Caenorhabditis elegans: one gene and its partner. The protein of the gene in region 2 interacts with the protein of the main gene of each other region in a pairwise test. Each region holds a gene or a part of one and is shown on either strand. Other genes may lie near its edges. The genes, in order: cyd-1 and R11F4.2.

What was found.
Region 1: the proteins of R11F4.2 (region 2) and cyd-1 interact in a two-hybrid assay, tested with the Caenorhabditis elegans proteins (one large-scale study listed by BioGRID).

The regions. Positions count from the first base shown.
Region 1 is NC_003280.10:12,982,114-12,993,838, reverse strand, and holds cyd-1 (G1/S-specific cyclin-D), read right to left. Parts: upstream 5,617-11,725; coding exon 5,503-5,616; intron 5,209-5,502; coding exon 4,879-5,208; intron 4,767-4,878; coding exon 4,505-4,766; intron 4,374-4,504; exon of another isoform or gene 4,190-4,373; intron 1,849-4,189; coding exon 1,712-1,848; intron 1,660-1,711; coding exon 1,285-1,659; 3' UTR 722-1,284; downstream 1-721. UniProt on the Caenorhabditis elegans protein: In association with cdk-4, regulates the progression through the G1 phase of the cell cycle during postembryonic development. Regulates proliferation of the coelomocyte lineage and intestinal cells during late embryogenesis.
Region 2 is NC_003280.10:4,078,575-4,088,732, reverse strand, and holds R11F4.2 (G-protein coupled receptors family 1 profile domain-containing protein), read right to left. Parts: upstream 5,680-10,158; 5' UTR 5,641-5,679; coding exon 5,530-5,640; intron 5,082-5,529; coding exon 4,621-5,081; intron 4,061-4,620; coding exon 3,802-4,060; intron 3,749-3,801; coding exon 3,662-3,748; intron 3,458-3,661; coding exon 3,372-3,457; coding exon of another isoform or gene 3,368-3,371; exon of another isoform or gene 3,345-3,367; intron 2,800-3,344; coding exon 2,592-2,799; 3' UTR 2,436-2,591; downstream 1-2,435.

The DNA of each region.
Region 1 (11,725 bases), 8.9 Mb from region 2:
TTATGGCTTTTAAAATATTTGAAAAATTGATAAGAAGGTTTTTTTCCAATAAATTTTTTACAACTTTTGAAAAATTTGAAAATCTATAACAGATTGGCAATTTTTAATTGTAGGTGTTCTGGCTTGTAAGAAAAACTTTCTCCAGGCTGTCCCATCACGTTTTGATCTACAAAAATGCGGGAATTTTTAACCCAGAAAAATGTGACGTCATCACGCTCTTAGCCATGCAAATCCAGTTCAGAAGTCTACGTCTAAATTCCCGCAATTACGTAGATCAAACCGACATGGGACACACTGACGCCACGTGTTTCTCCAGTTCTAGACAAGTTCCAGATGAAAACTAAGCGGTTTTCCGATTTTCAAGCACAATTTGGAGATTTTAGATAACTTTGCTTTTTGTCTATTATTACAGAAATTGCCGATTTGCTGGAAAAAATTCAATTTCGTCACAAGAAACAAATTTTTTTGCACTGTTTTATAAAAAAAGGGGCCCGTCCACCTGCTTCACATATCTCTGATCTTCTACTAGCGCAAGCTCAACGTCATCAACAGATGCTAATAATGTATGTTGCGCTTATGGTCAAGATTTGAATAAGTGCTCGCTTCACGAGCTTGCAGTTTGACGCAACTCTAGAAGTGGGGGTCTGTGTGACGTCACAACCTCGAAGGGTCAAACAACGTCATATGGTGATTCCGGGTAAATAGTGAAATATATGTTTGGTGGTTGTGGGGAATCTTTATTATTTCACAAATAGAAAAAAGTAATCATCGAAACAGCGAGAATTTTTGTACAATACAAGTAATTTCAATGGTCATCAGAATTGGGTGTAGGAAGCGAATTGAGCAAGAGGGATCTGGAAAAAAGATGAAAGAAGCAAGTGGGAATTCTAGTATAGAAATGATTAATTTTTGGGAGGAGGCTTGGGCAGGATTTGACTAATCACAAACGAAGTCGTGGATGTGACAAGAACCAGGAAGCAGTTGGAATTTCATAGGAAAATCCAACAAAAGGTTCGAGCACATCCGAACTCTCGGAGAGGGGGAGGGAGGTGGAAATAACTTAGAATAAATGTTTTAATATATATATATATTATTTTTTTCAGAATAATAAGAATAATAAACTGGAAGATTTGTTGGGAACACCGGTTTAAAAATTAAAGTTTAGGAAATAATGCAAAAGCTACATAGAAAATGGAAGACTGGATGTGTTTTGAGATTTTTTGGGATTTGGTTTCGAATCGACATAGAAGCTAAACAATGCATAAAATAATGGGTAACAAATGTTCATAAAGTCTTGAAGATCTTCGGCGGCGTCGAGTCCTCCTCAAACCAGTCTGTGCTCCGACGACGCTTCTTCTCTGAGGATGCGGGGCTGGAGACATCAGACGAGAAGCCCGAGTCGTTGAGGGGAGTTGATGGAGTTTGCTCGGAGAGGGGGATCGGCTCGAGGAGCACAAGCTTCTGGAAGGCAGGTTCCTCTGGTGGTGGAGTTGGGAGGGGTTCTTCCTTGAGCTCCTTGAGCTCTTGGAAGGCCTCTGGCTCTTGAGTGGAGGCCGGCGCGGATGGTGTCGGTTCCGTCTTCTCAGCATCTTCTGATGTGTAGATTGGCGTTGTGCTCATGCAACGCTGCACCATCGGGATGTACGAGTCGAGAAGGTTCTGGAAAAGGTTTAGATAAGAAATTATAAGTGCTGATTTTTTTTTCACTAACCACTTCCAACTGGAACATGTTTGCCAAGAGATCCTTGATCTTTACTGCCAGCTCCTTATTCTGTGTTGGGAGATTCGATACGTAGTAGAGGCCAATTGCACATTGCATGGATGGGAATAAGGTGGCAAGTTTGTGCACTGAAAAACCAATATTCATATTATTGATTTTATCATTAAAATTCCAAAATTCCAAAATTTAAGTTCAATCTTTTCTCCCCCCTTGGCCCATTCATCACTGTTCCCTCTGCCAATCATTCGCTCGCTCGCGCCTCAAGGTTTCGATTTCAATCATTAAGAAAAATCGAAGAGGGTGGCTGTGGAGGACATAGATGATTATCTACGAACAAGTCTCTAAGTGTCTGGGCGTCTGAAACATCAGTGGAACTCTCTCTGCCTCAAAGTGCGCGTTTTCACACCTTCATACATATCTTCCAGGGGTCTGACGCGCCAAAAATTTTGAAATTGAAACGGGCTGGCTGCCGAGAGAGAGAGAGAGGTAAAACGCTTATCTTGTGCTAACATAAACTTTGCCTACTGTAGAGGAAGGTCGTCGTGCTATTTTCATGTAATTTCACACTCCTTTTTCAAAACCGACTCTCCAAACCGCTTGTGACATCACACGTTCTTCACAATGCCTTGCGTCAAAAAAATCACCAGAAGCCCATTCAAACATGCGCAATTAGGCTATGCTCCTTTTAAGCCTCGAGCACCTGTTGACAGTATGTGTAGGATCGCGCGGTCATGTTGCATAATTGAATAGACCGCCCGAAATGACAGCTGGTAGACGATGATGATGATGGTGATGATGTAAAGATATTTGAAAATCTGGGAAGCATCTCATCCTCCTCAATGAGGATGGCACACGCTTCCGTAATCCCAATAAAAAAGTAATCGACCGCGAATGAATTTATATATCGGTCAAACGGATGTCCAACGATTGATGACTCCTTCTTCAGCTGCTCCTTTTCAAATTCCACTACGGGGGCACTGTCAATCAATTAGGCCTTGGCTGATGAAACATTCATTATTATACGATGATCTCCATTCAAATTTCAAATTCAAATGTCATCAGTTGCCCCAGAGAGATGACCCTTCCCATACTGTCATAACATTAATGTAGATGATATACATCCCTTGTCATCGGTGGTGTCTTGGAAGAGCAGATTGCGACATAACTTTTCTTTGTGTGTGAGGGCCGCGCAACAACAGGCACAACATCACGGGGGCTCGTCATCGTAAATCAAGAAGCGCAGATTTCACTCCTTTTCACCCCCATACATACATACCTACAAACACACACACACGGTATTCTTTCATAATCTAGCCCAAATCTTCCAAATGTATAAATCAACGGGTAGGCACGCGCCAGGTGGACACAACTTTCCTAATCCGTTTGGATAACTGAACATCCATTAAGGCAGAAGGATATGGGGGGGGGGGGGGGGGGGGCAAACACTGCGAGATGATCGATCAGAGCATTCCATCACGCTATCAAGTTGCCAAAGGCGATGCCGATCGGAAGTTTTGTTCAAATAAACATTGGGCAATAGGTACAAGGGCATTTTGAAAAAGGTATTGCCTACTGTAGAGCCTATTCTTTGAAGTCACTTCAACCGCCGGGATTAAAGCGACATGTGTTTAAGGGGAGTCGCCTTCTAATTGTTTCGGGTGTCAAGTGATCCGCAACAGTTAAACGGTTTCCCTAAGAGCCCACTAATTTCACCCCCCAAGCCATGCCGCCCGGGAGATAGCTATCTATAATTGAACCCGGGCCACCTGGGCTGTCATGTCACTATTTACAGCCATATTCTTCTAATTCAGATATTCACCCAGATGTTCTTAAGAGTAATTGCAAAATTGTACTACCCCACACACACACACGCGCACACACACAGTCATTTTTTAGCGTCTCAGTGTGTCACCACAGAGGAGGACGGCTTGAGAACAAAGAGGACGCACAAAATTTTGTGTACCTGGTACTGACTCACTTACTTTTTGGTATCTTATATCTGTAGTTGGGGGGTGGGAAGCCTTAACAAAGGCGCTAAAACCTAGGTCAGCGCGTGTCAAATGACCAATGAGCCGTACGCAAAAACTAACAACTAACAACTTTTGGACTGTTTGCATAGGCTAATTCCGAAATTTTCCTCAATTCAATTCGGTCTAAGATGAACTTTTTTCGATAGGTAGGACACTTTCCCTTGGGGAGATAGGACTTAAGCTCATTAGACAAAGACTGGCCCACTAGCCCACCTGCTGTGCTGGAAAGAAGAAACTTGTTTGTTTGATTTGGCTTAGGTGGAGGTGGATTAGGCTAAATTAGGCTGGTAATGATGAATCAATATGGAAAGTGCAAAAAAAACAGGCTTCTTCCTTCTTTTCTAGAAGCTATTTTTCTCCCCTCATCCCGGCCAAAAATATCCTAGTAAATCTCATTTTTCTTGTCCCTTCCACCACATTATGTAAATGCAACGGTGTCGCTCGCCCGACCCTACCGCACAGTCCTACGACCACCCATCAAAAAAACTTGTCTCTGTTTCCTTTTTTCGCCCCGGGAACCCTGTATGGGTGGCCCACCGCCGGCAATAAGTACAAAAGAATGGGGGACACGCGACGCACACACACACAACATCATCCAAAAAACGACTTCGATTTTATAGAGATTAGACGGGAGAAAGAACACCCTTCCGATTGAAAAATGACACGCGCCAGGGCACCAGGGGGGGGGGGGGGGAGTGAAAGGAACAAAAAAAAAACTACTGGACTAGGTGGAATGAAAGAAATGAAAACTCACTTTTTTGGCACTTCTGCACAACTGTCTGAAAGTCGCCCCTCATGTTGTGAATCTGTGGGATTCTTGAGGCGAGAAAGTCGAAGAAGGAGAACGCCGTCGGCGACTCGGTCTCCCATTGAAGTGTCGTCACAATGAGCAGCTCCCACTGAAGAATCATATCGATGGGGCAACTGTTATCCGAGTAGTAGGCGATCTTCGACGCGGTCATCGGATGTGGGGCCTTCAGTTTACTGGCGATAAACAGCGCGACTCCGGCGATCATCTGAACGGGTCTGATTTCATAAATGTTGATATGATGGGAGGAGAGGCAGGAGGATTAGTTTATGTACTTCTAACACTAGAGGTGAAATTCCAAACATACTCAATATACTCACCTGAATATCATGCTTCAAAATATTCTGCACCGACATAAACCTATCGATCAGCGAAACAGCCAACAAGAAGACGTCGCCATCACAATTCTCCTCCTTTGCCACGTCGTAAATCCAATCGATCGCCTGCTCTCGATGAAACGGCGTGATGTTCTCCTGAACGCCGGTGAAGTAGTGATAGTTGGGCTGTAGCGCCTCCTCGTACTCCATACAGTTATAGAAGGCTCGCATGTCGAGTTGAATATGAGGATCCGTACGGTTATAAATCAGTGTTCGGACATTATCGTTCAGAGCAGCCGATCGAGATGGGTGTAATTGACAGCTCACATTTGACTGGAAAATTGAAAATTGTATTTTAAAATTGTACTTTAAAATTTAAAATTGAAAATCAATAATTATGTACATACATGTTGAATAGATGAAGTGGTCGAGATTTTCGAAAAGAAGATTCTTATCTTTTTTCACTTGGAGGAAAATTAGAAATTAAGCGTGAGGGAGAGAAAAAGAGTGGGCGACGAAAAAGGTGTCAAAATTTTGCCGAAAAAAATCTACCAAAAAAAAATAGAGAAGGACAAGTCTCCTACTGCGACACACACACAACTTAAACACCAGAAAAAAAAATGTTACCTCGGTAATAGATGTTTCCGACAAAACTGCTGAAACTTGAGGAAGCATCGATAATGTGCATGGCTCCTCTGCGTAAGATGTGCTCGGACCAGCCGACGACGACTCAAAGTCCATCTGGAAATGGAACTTCAGGAATTTATTATTAATGCTTATTATTAAATCTCAAAAAGTTAGTGAATTTGAGAAAATTGTCAAGTGGAGAGAGAAAGCAAGAAAAAAAAGTAAGTCAAGGTACGGCACCTTGACTCGCAATGACAGTCGAGTGACCGGAGGCGGGTGACTGCCAGGGACTCCGCCCAGTTTTTGCGCACCCTCTCCCCCACCTCCCCCCAGGGCCAGCCGTCTCCCCCAGGCACATGAAGGAATGAAGGTGATGATGATGAAGACGGGGGGTTTTGGGATTTTTGAGAATGAAGAAAAATACTTCTGCGCTGATGTTGCTGACTGAACGACGACGAGCTGGCAGATGACCCAAAGACAGCGGGATACTGGGTCAGCAGTCGGCAAATTGCAATATTGGGAAGAGGTTGGCGGGGGTCATAAGGTGTTAAAATATTGATTGGTGCACAGTTATGGACCACGAAAAAAAAACAAACTGCGGATCGATAATTACGTCCTTGACAAAGAAAGGTGTCAAAATCACTACACTCTTCCGGTTTGGCAAAGTTCCAAGGTTAACGGGAGACACGGAGGGTACTAGCAGCTTTTCCTGTCTAGACAGGTAAAGGGTGTCAATAAGGCAAAAAAAAATAAAAACGTTCAGAATGATTAACATTTTTGGGTAATATGTTTAAAAAAAAAGTGTTAAAACTAATTGAAATTTAAAAATCAATAAAATTTTGATAGTTATCTAAATAGGCTTCTAACTTTCCAAAAATCAACAAAAATCAAATTTTGAAAAACAGAGAAAATTACGCATCTTCTAGCCTTTCCAAGTATACAGCAGAAACTTCAAGTTTTGTGATATGCTCTAAAATCACCTAAAATACTTTGAGCATTTTGGATTTTTTCTTATGATGCTCTTTTACTAGAAAAGTATTTAGAAATGACGTTAGTTATCGTCAGTGTTAAAATACCCTTTATAATTTTTTTACAGTTAAAAAGTGGGTTTTCACAGTTTTTTGACAGGCTTTAATTTTTTGTATTCATATATTATAGGGATGAAAACTTGTAGAAATGCTCGAAATTACTGAAAAAGTCCATATATATTTGGTTTTTTTTTGCCAAAATTTAGACTGAAAATTTTGAAAAATCTTAAAATAAATCCAGACTGTTTTATCATATATTAGGTAGTTTTAGACTACCAAAACTATATTAAGGGCCAAATCTCCTTTAAAGTGTCCAAAAATCTATGTGAAATTCGGGCCTTTTCTAAACATCTACGCTACACCTGAAAGCGCCTATTAATGTTAATATATAGGATTTTTTCTTACGGGGGCTCTTTTACTGGAAAAATAATAAGAAATTATGTTATTTATTGTCAAGGCTAAAATGTCTTTTGTAATTTTTTTTACAGTCAAAAAGTGATTTTTTGACCTACTATAATTTTGAAGTTCGTCTTGGACTGAAATTTTTGACATTTTCTAAACATCTACGCTACCCTTCAAATTCAAAAATTTGTCTCCCATGGCAGCATATATATATATTTTTTTGTATCTTTATTTCTCCCCCACCACCTTTAAAAAGTTCATCCAAACACTAAACCACACACACGACATTTGGCCTATTGTTTTGGGAGCCACCCATTGAACACAGTGGTGGGTTCCCAAACTCATAAATTGTACCGGACAAGCAACAAATCAGACGGAGCAGGGAACGGGGAGAGGTGGATATGGAAGGTTAACACTCAAGTAATCTTAGAAAAGTAGAAAAAGTGAAAGTTGAGAAAATTATGGTAGTAAAAGAGATTGGGATGCGCCATCCCACACGTACTACCAGGTGTTCGGCCAGCTGCCCATATCTGGCTGACCTTCTTCTTCTTCTTCCAAACATCTTCTTATATTTCATTTGACTCCCCTAACATTCCCACAGGCAAATAAGGGACTATCATAGCAGGGCTCAGCTATCAGTTTTCGCGCACCATCTCCCCCTCTAATGCGACACTAATCTGATGATGGACAAGTGAAAAGTGTGACCTTTCCAGTCGTATATTTGAACAAGAGAGTGTGAAAGATCTGATTGAGATAGGTGTGTGTAGTTGTTGAATGGGGCAATTGGCGTGCTCTGATGACGTAGAGCGGGAGAACTCACATTGCGTAAGAAGAGGTCAATTCCAGTAGGACAAATAGAAAACAACGGGAGGGTGGTAGAAACGATTTGGCGGATCTACAGGCCACCCACGAGCCGACAGCAGGTCGAGCAACAGGTGCTCAAGATGACGTAGGTGAATTGAGTATATACATATATATCTAGATATGTATGCAACAATATCCATATTACAATATGTGTGTGTACTATTGCGTAGTTGGGGGCATGTTGAAATTATGAGCATTGCGTGATAGGATAATTATTTAAGAGTTATTATCTGATATTTGGGTTGCGGTAATTATGAAAAAGGTGAACGGGGAAGTTTGAATATCAAAATAATTTTGGTTTGCATGGGATTCTTCTAGCAAAAATCAATGTTTTATGGATAGGTAGGCCCATATTTTTGCCAGATATACAGGCAAGGTAGACGTAAGTTTCGACCCAAAACAAGTATAGGCATAAAGAAGGCGTAGGCACAAGGCAGGCATATCAAAGAAGACGTAGGTACAAGTGCAAGGCAAGAAACTGTTTTTCTGCCTAAAATAAAATTTTTGGAAAAATTTGAACTCGCATAACAAACCGTTGCAAACCAAAAAATTGAAAAGATAGCTAGAAAAATATGTAATAGTAAAATAGACACATTAAATATCGATTTCCACTAAAATTTTTCCACCACTTTTTGATCTACCGGAGTCCTTCATTTTTGAGTAGATCAAACTTTTTCAACTTGAAAGAACAAAGGATTTAGTGTCAGAGTGTCCCATTTCGGTTTGATCTACGTAGATCTAGAAAAAAAATGAGAGAGTTGAGACGCATTCTCAACAGATTTTGCATCGTCACATTTTTTGGACATAAAATTCCCGCATTTTTTTTCAATCAAACTGTAAGAAAGTCGAATTTCAAATTCTATTGAATTTCAAAACTTCAAAACTTCCAAACTAAAAACTATAAAATTTGCGGCCAGGTCAAAAAGCTCTTAAGCCAACTGTTACCAGTCAATTTTTGGACCGGAAAGTACTGTTTGATCTCCTTTAAAATCTCTCCGAAAACATCTGTCTCTCCATTATTCGGCTTCTTGAGCTCATTATGGCACCCACTTTTGGACTCAACAATGTGCCAAACCAACTGTCATTCTTCTGTAGGGGAATTCAAACGTCTCCTCCTCTCATTAATATTATCTGCCTGTGCGCATCGTTCCTACTATGCGGGAATCGTGCCCCAACTGCTGACAGATGGCTTTTCCTTTTTGTGTGGTGATTGTGTTTCGACACGGCAAATAATTAGATAAAAAAGAAGCGATGCCTTTTAGAAAAAAAACCGAAAAAAATTCAGAGACAAAGAATCGTTCGCGCATTGGGAGGTCGGACCCCCCCTCTCATGCACTTTTTCCATGTAAATTACGCAACATTTGTCACCCGAATCTGGGGATCGCGTGTGGCCTCTTGTGTTGTTCGACCTCCGTGATTGAATTGGAAGAAACAAAATCACATTTACCTACGCGTATGACTGAAATGATGAACGGAGGTGATGATGATGGAAGGTCGTTCGGTTTTCGGCGCCCCTCGGAGATGATGATTTGTCGTGCCAGGTAGAATTAAATTCAGGTTTAAATAATGATGCTCTAGACTTTTTGAAACTTTTTTTTTTGAAATTGTTTGAGGGGATCTTGTTGTCGCGCCACTCGCCTTGCGGTGGAGTACCGAAATCTAAAACTTTGCTTTTTAGACCCAAAATGAGCCAAAACTGCCGAATTTTGTTATGAGACGTTTTGTTAATTTCTCAAAAAAAGTGATGGCGGGCTCATTTTCAGCTAAAATCAAAAATTTTGCCACAATTTTGCCTGAAATGATGCCTGATGCCTGAAATTAAAAAAAAAAAACTTCAGAAAGCGTTTACTTTTGGAGTTTGTATTGAAATCTAGAATCTCTTATATAATTTTATTTCAAGAAGAATGTATTCCAAAAATTTAATCCCTATTAACTTTCAACTAACAGATTTCCATTTGTTAGTTCAAAATAGCCTACCTGCCTAGAAGGTGGCCTGTAGGCTTACGAAAATTGCAATTGTAAACCAGGCCTAGGTCTCCTCCAATATGAGTTAGACCTGCAGGTAGGCGTTTGATTTTTCTAAGGTGTTCAAGTTTCCAAATTTTCAGAAATGTTGCCTAATTCGTTGTTTTTTAAAAATAAAGCCAGGAGATCTTTTCACCAGTATTTCTTTAAATTTCAAGATCTAGTTTTCAATTTGTTGTGTATTGTTTTTCAATTTTCAATTCAAAAAAACCTACGTGTCTACAAGGCTTACAAGGCCCGTAGGCCTTTGAAAAAAATTATCAATGGTAAAATAGGCCTAGGCATCCTCCAATATAGGTTAGACCGCAGTCAGGCGGGTAGGCATGTTTGTGCCTGCGCTGAACCCCAGCTTTCATACTTCTAAAATGTTCAAGTTTCTAACCTTTCTGAATTTTTGCCCAATTAGTTTTCAATATAGTCCGGAAACTTTGAAATTTGAAAAATATTCAAAGTTTTTGAAATCGAATTCTTAAAGTTACGGTATCAACTATTTACCTGAAAATTGATCTAATTTCCAAAATATTTAATTATTTAGCTATTCAGGACTATGGTCTTTATCGGAAATGGTGCTCCTGTCATCTCAATGTCATCTCAATAAGCTGCTCAATTGGTTCGTGCCAGGCAAATTCAAATCCCATTCCACAGCTCGATGAGATCAGGCCTGCACTTTTAGCCAGTTCATACATACCAGTCAGTCGGCTAAAAAAGTGCACAAAAGGGAACGTTATCACCGGTAATGTTTGCCGTCTTCTCCTCTGTTCTTCGTCGTTTTTTTCAACTTTTATATGAGTGATGTCAGAATAGGTGAGAAAAAGTGAAAAAAAGCCAGAGAAGTTTTTTGTTCCAAAAAGGGCAAACTTTCTCGTGTCAACCTTGTGCCGGTACCGACTGGGGTACTGAAAAAACACGTCACTGGGGTCGACCGCCGAGTTCAAAGAGAATACGAGGAGACCACGAGGTGGTTGATGATGATAATCGAGGCTTTGAAATTATGATTGAATGGAAATTGATAAGGATCACTAGTGATAAGGGAAATAGTGGGGGGGGGGGGGGTGGGGGTGAACGGAAGCATTTGGAGATGGAGCGTGTTGGAGCAACTAGAAATTCCACCCTCCGAGGCGTAACTCGGGCCCTTGTGGAAATCCTGGTACCAACTAAACCACACGTAGATCTACAAAAAATGCGGGAGAAGAGACGCAGAGTTCTTAACTGATTTTGCATGGTTAAGAACGTTCTGACGTCACTTTTTTTTGGGCAAAAAATTCGCGCATTTTTTGTAGATCAAACCGTTATGGGGCAGCCTGGCACCACGCGTAGTCTTACAGTATTCCCATCACGGTGCATGATTGGGAGAGTTGCCGTAGACAAATGAGACTTTGCAAAAACAGGTTTTTGTCGGCTGCTCTTTTTTTTCAACGTTATCAAGGTATCATGGACAGTTTTTCAGAAATTTGAATAGTTTTTTGTTCAATAAATGTACAGTTATTTATTCTCACGACCTTTCCCCACTTTCCCACAAATTTTTTCTCCTGCCTCCGCACTCAAACAATCGTAAGATTGCATTGGTCAACTCTCTCAATCACAATCTCAACACAATTCTTATCAGTTTACAAACCGATAGGTCAAGCTGGGCGCCCTTGTGACATTTTGGGCTCCAAAATGGCACAATAAACATACCATAATTGTATAGCGTGCAAATATGTATAGAGGATTGTTTTTTGAAAACAAAGAAAAAAGTGTAGAAAACTATGGGGAAATCCTTGGCAATTAGTGTGTCCGGTGATTGACACCTCGAGACTAGATACTCACCGATTTTCAAGATTCCAATCTTTTTTGCTGTGAGGAGTTGACTGTGTGAGGACATACACATACAGTGATGGTGATGGTTATCTCTGGAAATGATG
Region 2 (10,158 bases):
TTTTTTTGTCAGTTTTTCCAATTGCCACGCTACACATCGATCAACTTTTATCGTGAAATTTTATTTTTAGATGGAAAGGGAGGGATAGGAAAACTGGAGAAATTGAAAGAAAAAAGTTGAGTTTTCAGTTTTCTTCAAATGGTTCAGTGGAATCAATATTCCAAGAAGGACAAGAAAAGTAGAATTTCAGTATTTTCTACAATGGACAATTGTCAATTACAAAAAGTAAGAATACGTTTTGGGCAACATTTTATTAGTTGTAAGGTTGCCTGTAAAGTGTCTTGTTTTTGAGTTATAGGTTGTTGAAATCAAGACGTTTGCCGTGAAGTTTGCCGGATTGCCGATTTGCCGGTAATGTTGTTTTTCGGCAGCTTGCCGATTTGCCGCTTGCCGAACATCAATTGGCCGCAAGATTTTTTAAAAGACGGAAATTTTTAAATCTCTGCCTTTTTGAAATTTTTCCCATTTTTTTTCTAAATATTTTTAAAAATAGATTTAGGAACGTTAGGATAGAATTTTGCCGATTAAAATTGAAATTCTGAAGTTTCCAAAAAAAAAAGTTATTTGCCGTAAATTTTCGGTAATTGCGGTTTTCCGGCAAATTCAGCGATTAGCAAATTGCCGGTTTTCCGATTTGTCGGGAATTTCCATTTCCGAAAATTTTTTGATTTATCGATTTGTCGATGAAAATCGTTTGCCGCCCACCCCTGGTTGAAATTGCTTTAAAATTTAAAAACCATTTATATTTTGGTAGCTGAAAATTGATCTTCTCTATTTTCTCCTATTTCCAATTGTTGTTTCCCATCTCAAATCTCAGCACTTTTTCGTCTAAAAAGTACCTGAAAACTTTGCATTTTTCCCGATTCCAACAGGTTATTCTACTGGAGTAAAGCAATAACAATTGTCACTAATGACACTTTTGAAAGTGTTCAATACTCTCTATCTTTATCGAACGATTCACTTTTTGTCTTTATCATCTTTGAAGAATACGAGACAGGGGAAAGAGAGTTAAGGGGGGGGGGGGGGAAGTGATAAATGATACGGGGCCCTTCGAGTACAGCTGTTGGAGGAAGATTTTGAGAAAAGATTCTTGTTGAGCATTTGAACTTCGAGGGGAGCCACGTCAATGAAATGACGTGACTTGTGAAAAACACAAAATGTTTAGGAAAATAAAGAAAATCTTTTGAACATCTTGAGATATTCGTTTGAATCAGAAAGGGTCCCGAAGCGAGAATCGGTCTGACCTCGGATTCACAAAGTTATCATTGAACAGACGTCAAATCAAGGATTGATCCTATCAAAAAGGGTCTTTAAACGAAAATGGATCCCGCAGCGAAAGCAATTTTTGTATGATTTTTGAACACTTTTTGAATCGATCGCTTTTTTTTCAGACTTTACACCCTTTTTTCTGCAAAAAAATGTCTGCCTTTTTCTTGTCGAACAAAAAAAACCCAAAAAAAATTCATAAAACCTACGAATTTGATTTTTGAAAGTTTCAATCTATCATTCATCAGTCTTCTTCACATTCCGCTTCTACAAATGATAAGCCATTATCACAAAGAGTACGGTAGAATGGGACATCATTTCACGTGAACTGTGCCCGTCCACACGTGAAATCGAGCGGTGAACAATGAACAAAAACAGCAAAATACACGTGGAAAAGTCCTGGTTAGAAGGAGTTTTGTGGGAGCTTTAGTGGAAATCAGTGAAACTATTAAACATAATAAAATGTTGAACTTTTGTTTTAAGTAAGGCTCTGAAACCACCTGAAATCGATGAAAAATGCAAAATTTGAAGTTTGAAAATTTGAAATGCAAAATTTGAATAGAAAAAAATTTGAAGTCCTGTTAAATGTCGGCTGGTAAAAGTAGTGCCTGTAAAATGTCGGCTGCTCGAAATTGGGCCTGTAAATGGAGAGACGCATGGAGACGCATGCGCCTTACAATTTTAGCTGTTTTGATAATTACCTGTGAAACCTCGGCCGCTAAGCACAGTACCTGTAAAATGTTGCTTGTTGAAAGAAGTGCTTGTGAAACGTCGGTTGCAGAGAATAGTACACACCTTTAAAGTTTCGGCTGCTTGAACTAAAATCTTCAATATATCAGCTGCTTTGGTTAATTCGAAAAAAGCTCAGATGGTCACTCCGAACTGACAAGAAAGCGCTCCTGTCTTACAAAATTTTAATTTTTCCAGCGGCCGACATCTACCGGGCTTGTTCAATTTGAAAAATCTAATGCAGTAAGCTTGCTGAAATTAGGGTCCCCCCTTACTTGTAGATCAAATTTTTCTAGATCAAAACTTCAATTTTAATTTTAGCAGGTTTTGAAGAAACCCCCAGTGTCTGTCTCCCGAAGTTTTCACCAAGTAAGACATGAAAGAGCATCCGGTTTTTAATGAGATGTGAATCTGATAGTTTTTGTGCAAAACCCCATTCAGAATAAACATACCAATTTATTTTCGCTATTTTACCCCGTGATATTGGTCATATGTATGATGAGAGAGGAGAAGAAAAAGTAAAGTATACAATCCAGAAAGGAAAAAAATAATGAGGTGGGTGAGGAGAATGTGCAAATATATGGAGCCGCTTCTTCTCAAACCATATATGGAATCTCTTCATCGTCGTCGTCGTCGTCGGTTTCCTCGTCTCCAGATGTGGTCGCGTGGTGGTTTGAGATGACGTATGAGTCGTTGGCCTCTTTGGTGCCTCCACCTCCGAAGACGAGCTCACTCGAGAGCAGCCTTCGAGCAATGGCAATTGCTACAGCATCGATTTCGGTTCCGATTTGGCGGGAGGAGTCGCTGAAAGAAGTATATGTTAACTGGAAGATAAAATGGTAGGATGATAGCTGGTGGCTCGTAAAGTGTCGGCCGCGGAAACGAGACGGCAGCCGACACCTCGTAAGCTTGGCTAGCTAGGCGAACGCTAGCTTTGCTGGCCTGTGAAATGTCGGCTGCAATCTGCTGCGGACACCTCACGTGCCAACCCGGTCCTGCATACGCCAGCCTGGCCCATGAAGTGCCGGCTGCAGTCAATGGGCTGCGGCCGACATCTTACTGGATTGGTAAAAGTGTGTGCGCCTAGAAGTAAGCTTGTGACGGAAAGTTATTAGGAGGAGAGCAAAGAGAGTCTGGGAGATAGAAGTTTGAGATACAGTAGACATGCGAAATAGATAGCAGAAGTTCAACTACTTTAATTTTCCCCTACTTTTGCTGATTTCTCACGATGCCGGTCTGTCTTGGACCGAGGAATGTTAGGGCGCCCACTACCGCCAACGGCATGGATTGTCTGAAAGAGAGAACGGGACTCAGTGACAGGGTGATGGATAGGTTTCAGATTTCTGCTTACGAAAAATTGATTTAGACAAACTTACAAGCTTCGGGTTACTGTAACATAGTCCTGCTTGCGAGGAGCACTCGTGCTGTGGCAGACGAGAGGTTTGATGGCTTCGCGGATTTCCTGGAATCTTTGGTTTTTTTGTTAAATTTTATGAGAATTGGAAAAGGTTCTGAGAGAAGTTTAGATGCATAATTTTTGCTGTGAAATTTATGAAATTGGAATTTCTAAAACTCGGAAAAAAATCAGAAAATTTTGGCGGGAATCCAAGAAATCAGGCATTTTTTAAAGAATTTTTCAGATAAAATTAAAAAAAAAAAAACCTACCTGATTGAACAAATAATATACAAAAAGACGCGTGGCACACACCAGAATGTAGAGTACTGACGTCACATCGGTGCAAGTTTCGTAGAACTGAAATTGGGAATTGTAGTTTGTAGTTTGCTGTTTGCAACTTTTCAACATACCGCATAAGCGTCTCCGGTTTGTGTTGATTGAAATGCCACGTACTCCCACAGTGTGACACCGACGTTTAGAATATTCGCGAGAAGATACGAGAAAACGATACATACCATCAAAATTGTTGCCGATCGGATTTTCGTCTTATGATCACTTGATAGAAAACGGAACATTTGCGCCGATCTCTGCTGCATTCGAAGAATTTTCACGACTTTGTAATTAAGAATGGCCAGCAGAACGAAGGGTACCAGGACTGTCATGATGTTTCTGAAAGATTTTTTTGGCTTGGTATTTTATTTTTTTAAATAATTGTTTTAATATAACTTTTTTGATGCTTGAATAGAGACAAAATTGAGCAGAAAAAGGATACGGAAAACTTTAAATTTTTTTATTTTCAGCAAGTTGTAGGTCTGATTTCATGGTTTATACATCTGCCTTGTGCCTACACTCATGCCTATTGCCAAAAGTACAGAAAAATAGGCGGTAGGCAGGCAAGTAGGTAGGCGACCTAGTTTTGAAAAACTTTTGGTTAAAAACAATACTTTGTTATAAAAAAAATGTTCCAGAGTTTTCCATTTTCTGAAATTTCGATAAATTCCTTTTGAAATTTCAAGTACTTTTTTAAGTCTAATTATTCAAAATTAGGTCAAATATGCAATTAAAAAATTGAAATTATATTTTTTTTTCTATTTTTTGTTGATAATTTTAGTTTAAAATAAATTTTAGATTCAAAAATATCGGACAAACAATTTTTTTTTAATTTCAAAAATTTTCAGTTCATTTCTCTCTGTAATTTCTCCAATTTTTCAACAAATCCCTGCACCTACCTGACATAAAACCGGTACACAGTTCCATACCAAAACGTGTTCACAATCGGCGACAAGTTCAAATAGTACTCGCTAATCTCGCCAATACAATCGGGATTCTGTTCTATTTGCATTTCGAAAATGATGGGCGCCCTGAGCAACAGAGCCAAAATGAACATACAAAGTGCAGAGAGTCCCCGGCATTGTCGAAATGTGCCGAGGCATTTTGCGCGTAGTGTGATCAGATATCGCTCGATGGTCGCCAGGATGATCAGGTAGCATGAGAAAGTCATTGAGGTTTGTGAGAGAGCAAGTAAGGGTCCCACGTATTGAATATAAAGATTTGAGAGCCAACGCAGTTTCACACGATCTTTGATTATGTCCATTGCTATCACGGGACCGTAGTTTAGAGATAAGAAGCAGTCGGATAAGGCGAGTAGGGCTAGGAAGTAGAAGTGCGTGTGCTTCGAGGATAGTAGGACCTGGAAATTAAAAAGATGTTTTCTTATTGCAGACCCGATCGCCTTGCTGATTGGTCAGGCTAACAATTGGACCAATCACAGGCGCTGGCCCCTCCCCTACCTCATCGTTCATTGGTCGCCATACGATTTACCCAAAACATTTGAAATTTCGTGTGAAGAACATGGGTTTTTGGCAATTTTGTTTATAACTCTCAAAGTTGTTTTAAACTCTCTCAATTTTTCAACTTTTTTTAAAAGAATTTTTGAATATTTCTAATACGTTTTCTTATGTCTTTTTTCCGACAAATCTTGAATGAAATTATTTTTAAAAGACCACACTTTTTTTAGTGGAAAAGCAAAATTTTAAGTTTTTCGAAAATAAAATCAATTTTAAAAGACAAAAATTTTCGTCAAATTAAGCTGAATTAAGCATTTTCCAATTAAAATCAAAACTATGAAAAACACTCACTTTTGATATCAACATATTTGAAACAATTGATAAAACCGATAATGATGTTCCACAAACTGCTACCAGGTACCATCGTCGATCCAGGCTCTCCACCATACACGCCTCGCTCATTGCTGCTGTTTCTGTGATGTTCATTTTGCTGAAAACTTGAATTTTTGAGTTAAGGGCTGTCAATAGAGATGAGATTAATTACAAGATAGATAGAAAATCGAATTTTTAACAGTTTTGCAGTTGGAAATTTTCAACTTGCTCAAATATTCGCTGACTATGAGTTTCGTTAATTTGAAAATGAGGGAGTAAGAGAAAGGGAGAGGGAGAGGGCAGAGGTCAGAGATACAGACGCTCTCGCTGTCTGCGTCTTCCCTTGTTTTTCATATTTAAAACATCGGTATATCTACTTGAAAAGAATAAATTTTAAATTTTTATTTTTTGCAAAAAGCTGCAATTTCATTTGTAAAACACCGATCAAAAAAATTATAACATTTTTTTCTTTCAAAATAACTTTTTTACAGCTCAAAATTGAGGGGTTATGCACCCAGTGAAGCCAATTCTAATCAATTTTAGGTCCGTCCACATCCTAAGTAGTTTCCATTAAAATTTGCATAGAGAAAAAAATGAGAAAAAAGGATAAGAGATAGATAGAGACATCTCTTTTCCTAGAATCAAACATCAATTTGATTTCCTTTGAAATTGGTAGGTAGGTCAAAAAGGACCACCCGGGTTGAGCTTTTCGTAGCAAAAAAAGTAAGAAAATGGAACAAAATCGGGGAAGAAAAGTTGCAATAGATGAGTGGGTGCTCTTTTTGTTGGGTGATGGCGTGAGAGAAAAACCGCTCTTAAAAGAATAGAATGAAAAGCTCAGAAATCTGGGGGAAACCGGATGACGCATAGAATATTACTATCCAAAAAGCCGGAACACTCGGCAATTCGGCAACAGAATTGTTTTGCTCCTTTTTGAAAACTTCAATGTAGGTTTATTAATATTCGTTTTTAAAGTCCCTGCAGGCTAAACCCTGTGAGCATAAGCCTAGCCTAAACCTAAGCCAAAGCCTAAGCCTAAGCTTAAGTCTACGCCTATGTCTAAGCCTAAGCCTATGCCTAAGCTTAAGCCTAAGCCTAAGCCTAAGACTAAGTCTAAGTCTAAGCCTAAGCCTGAGCCTGAGCCTAAGCATAAGCCTAAGCCCAAACTTAAATCCAAGCCTCAGCCTAAGCCTAAGCCTAAACCTCAGTCTCAGCCTAAGTTTAAGCCTCAGTCTAAACCTAAGTCTAAGCCTAAGCCAAAGCCTCATCGTAAGCATTTTGAGAAAAAATCAAACACCTCGTAGCAAAGAGCAAGGAAGTTGGAAATGAAAATTGTCGTGTTTTTCTCAACTTTTCAAAAAATCTCAGAACATGTTTTTCAAAATAAAGTGGGTGGGTGTCGGTGGGGGTGTGGGGATATTTGCAAGGTAATTATTTTCAGGTTTTCCCGAAAATTTGGCGCTTTTGAAATTGAAAATTGGCTGGAAATTCGAACAAAAAACACTGAGTGAATAAATAGCACACCGCCAGACAGGGAAATTGCGGGTTTTCAAACAAAAATTTGTTCGGAATTTGAAGACATACAAGGACCCAACAATGACATACACATACACACACAGACACAACAACAGAAGAAAGAGCAGATCCAAAGAATTCGAAATGAGATGAAATGTTTCATATATTCATGTGTGTTGGAGAGCACTGCCTGCTCTTTTTTTGGGGCGGAGCTCACGGATGAGTTGGGGTTGGCTCCGCCGCCGAGGCATCTTCTCCTTTGCAGAATAGAATGGAGGAATTGAATCAGATGAAGATGAAAGGCGAGAGCTCGCCGAGCACACACACGTCGAAAAAGTAGAGAGGAGGTGACGTGGCAGGGGGGGGGGGGGGACGTCAAAATTGGCGGGTGATCAGTGCCAGTGATCTACAAACGGCTGAAAACCTTTTCCTTTTCAGGCTCTACGCAACACGTGGATTTTCACAGATGTTTTAGATCGTAAATGTAGTTTAAATATCTATGATCTTTGAAATGAATTACTTTCTAGGTACCTGCCTACGTGCCTGCCTACCGCTTATTTTTTGAATTCTAACGTGATTTTTCCTATTTTCAGCTCTGCCTACCTACATTTTTGCCTACATCCCTGCTAAGTTGCACCATTGCCCACCTTTATATCAGTCAGCCTACGTACCTACCTACCGAAAACCATGCTTACCTACACTACTGCCTACCTAGATAACTGCCTATGTACTTGCCTACCAAAATCTATGCCTACTTTTATACCTGCCTACCTTTGTGCCTACCTACCCAGTCTATCTATCGCTTTGTTTTTACATACCTACCTACCTACTTTCCGAAAAGGAATAAGGAAGTTTTGAGAAGTAAAAGTTTACATTCAAAATCAGAAAGGTTTTTGAACATGATCTTATTTTTAATTTGGAAAAATGAAAAATTGAAAAACACAGGAAAATAAGAAAACTGAACAGGAAATTGAAAAATAAAAAGGAACAACAAAATTAAAGATTGTTTTCAAGTTTGAAGGAACTGGAAGTAAGAAACTTGAATTGACAATAGGTTGACTACAAGCCTACGCGCCTGCCTACAGCCAAAATTTACTTTTTTACTTAAAGCCAATTAAGACGTGAAAAGTGGTAATTTGTGATTTAGACGTAGGTAGGCATTGGTCAGGCAAGTATTTTCGTTCCTGTCTGACCTTTGGCAACGCAGAATTGAGCTATGTGTCTGATGAAATGACATCAAATCAGGGGTCACCGTCATCTTCCTCAAACTTAATATGTAAATTATTAGTGAGAATCAAGGGAATCCATCAGTGTACTCCTCTCGCACTTCTTCATCTAACTTCCTTGTAAAATGTGTGCATAACTCTCCCGTCAAGGGAAGTAGGATGACCTCTCCGCCCCGTAAAATAGCTCTTTGTGTCACAAATTATCAATTTTCCCGTTTTCTTTTTGGCTTTTTCGGGAGTGGGGGGTCTAGACATAACAAAATTTAGACCTGACCCCAAAAAAAGAAGTGCACATTGGCTTCTCTATTGTCCTGTCTTCTATTTTCAAATAGAAAAAGAGGAGAGAAATAATCCATGAAATTAGATATAAAAATAGACCTTATTTCAATTCAAATTTACAGGAAAAGTATTCAAGGTCTCGGTCTTCCAATTAATAAAATCGATAATTTTTAAAAATTTACCGTGCGGTGCGTGTGTGGTGCGTGTGCCTGTTCCAGCCAATTTTAAAAATTGCACTAGTTTTGAAACAACAAGTACTTTTGAGCTGTCCACCTCAAAACGCGAGATTAAACAACTAAATTCACCAATTTTATGGCCAAAAATAGGTGAATTATTGATGACAGAGTTGGCCAGACATTTGTTTATGACATATGGTGTTTGTCTTCATAGGGTAGAATATTTCGAGAAAGTGACGAGGGGTTAAAGGAATAACTGTTAGATGGAAAATTTTCTATCTTTCAGGGTATACACATTTCTTTAGTTCCGGAACATTCTGAAATTTCGCAATAAAAAATTTACCGTGAAGCTCCAGAAAATGCTCTAAAAGAATATCAAAACGTCATCTGGCTAGGATCGAGAATACGTTTTGTAACGAAGCCGCAACCCCCAAACCACCATTTCTCACGATATCACGAATATTAACGTTTGTGGGAAAAAAAGCAGAACTTTTTGGCTCTCAAGAAAAAGTTTCTTACTTTTAGTAGCCGAGCAACCGGGTTTGGAGTTTTGGAAAAATGAAAGAAAAAGTTGTAAAAATTTGAAGAATTTTGAAAGTTGCAAGAAAAATAAAACAAGGATTTATGGATCGGCAAGGAATATAGAAAATGTTTGAGGTTTTTGAGTTCACAACACAAAACATCAAATTGTGCTCCTACAGTATCCCTACAGTACCTCTCCGCATAGTAATAATTTTTACTCACATACAAAAATGATTAGAGATACTGATGGAAATCAACATTTTGCAAAACTATTTTATATTTTTATTTTGAAAACTTTTCCGAAGATTGCTTAAAACAAGCATTTCTACAAATAACAAATCTTGAGTTTGTGATTGATGTCTATTATGACGGAAAATGTAAACTTGGCTCTCCCAGTGCTTGCTGAGATCACAAAAAAAAACCTCTTAGAGCAAAGCGGCTTCCTCTTTGTAACTAAGACAAATGGGAGCGGATAAAATTGAAAACAATTCTTCCAAGATTTTGTTCCACAGCTAATTCGATTGGATTTAGAGGGCTGAGGTTGAACAGATATGTTTTGAAAATTTCATATCTTACCTGGTGTTGTCAAAAATCAAAGCTTGCCAGGACAGGAAAAACTAATTTCTGATCCGGGATATTGGTTTTTTATATATCTTAATATTTACGACTTATCCGACTTATGGGAAAACAAGATTGTGACTCAATTTGTGGGAACATGGGAATACCTATGTGTTTGGAGATCAAGAATCTAGTGATTTTTTTGGAATGATTTTCTGGGAATTTCACAAAACATATTTCTGATCAAAAATTGATAAAATTATGTTAATGTTTCTTGGAAGTGGAGTTCCTGATCTGATCCACTTTGCAGGTATGTGATAGAAATTAGAGTT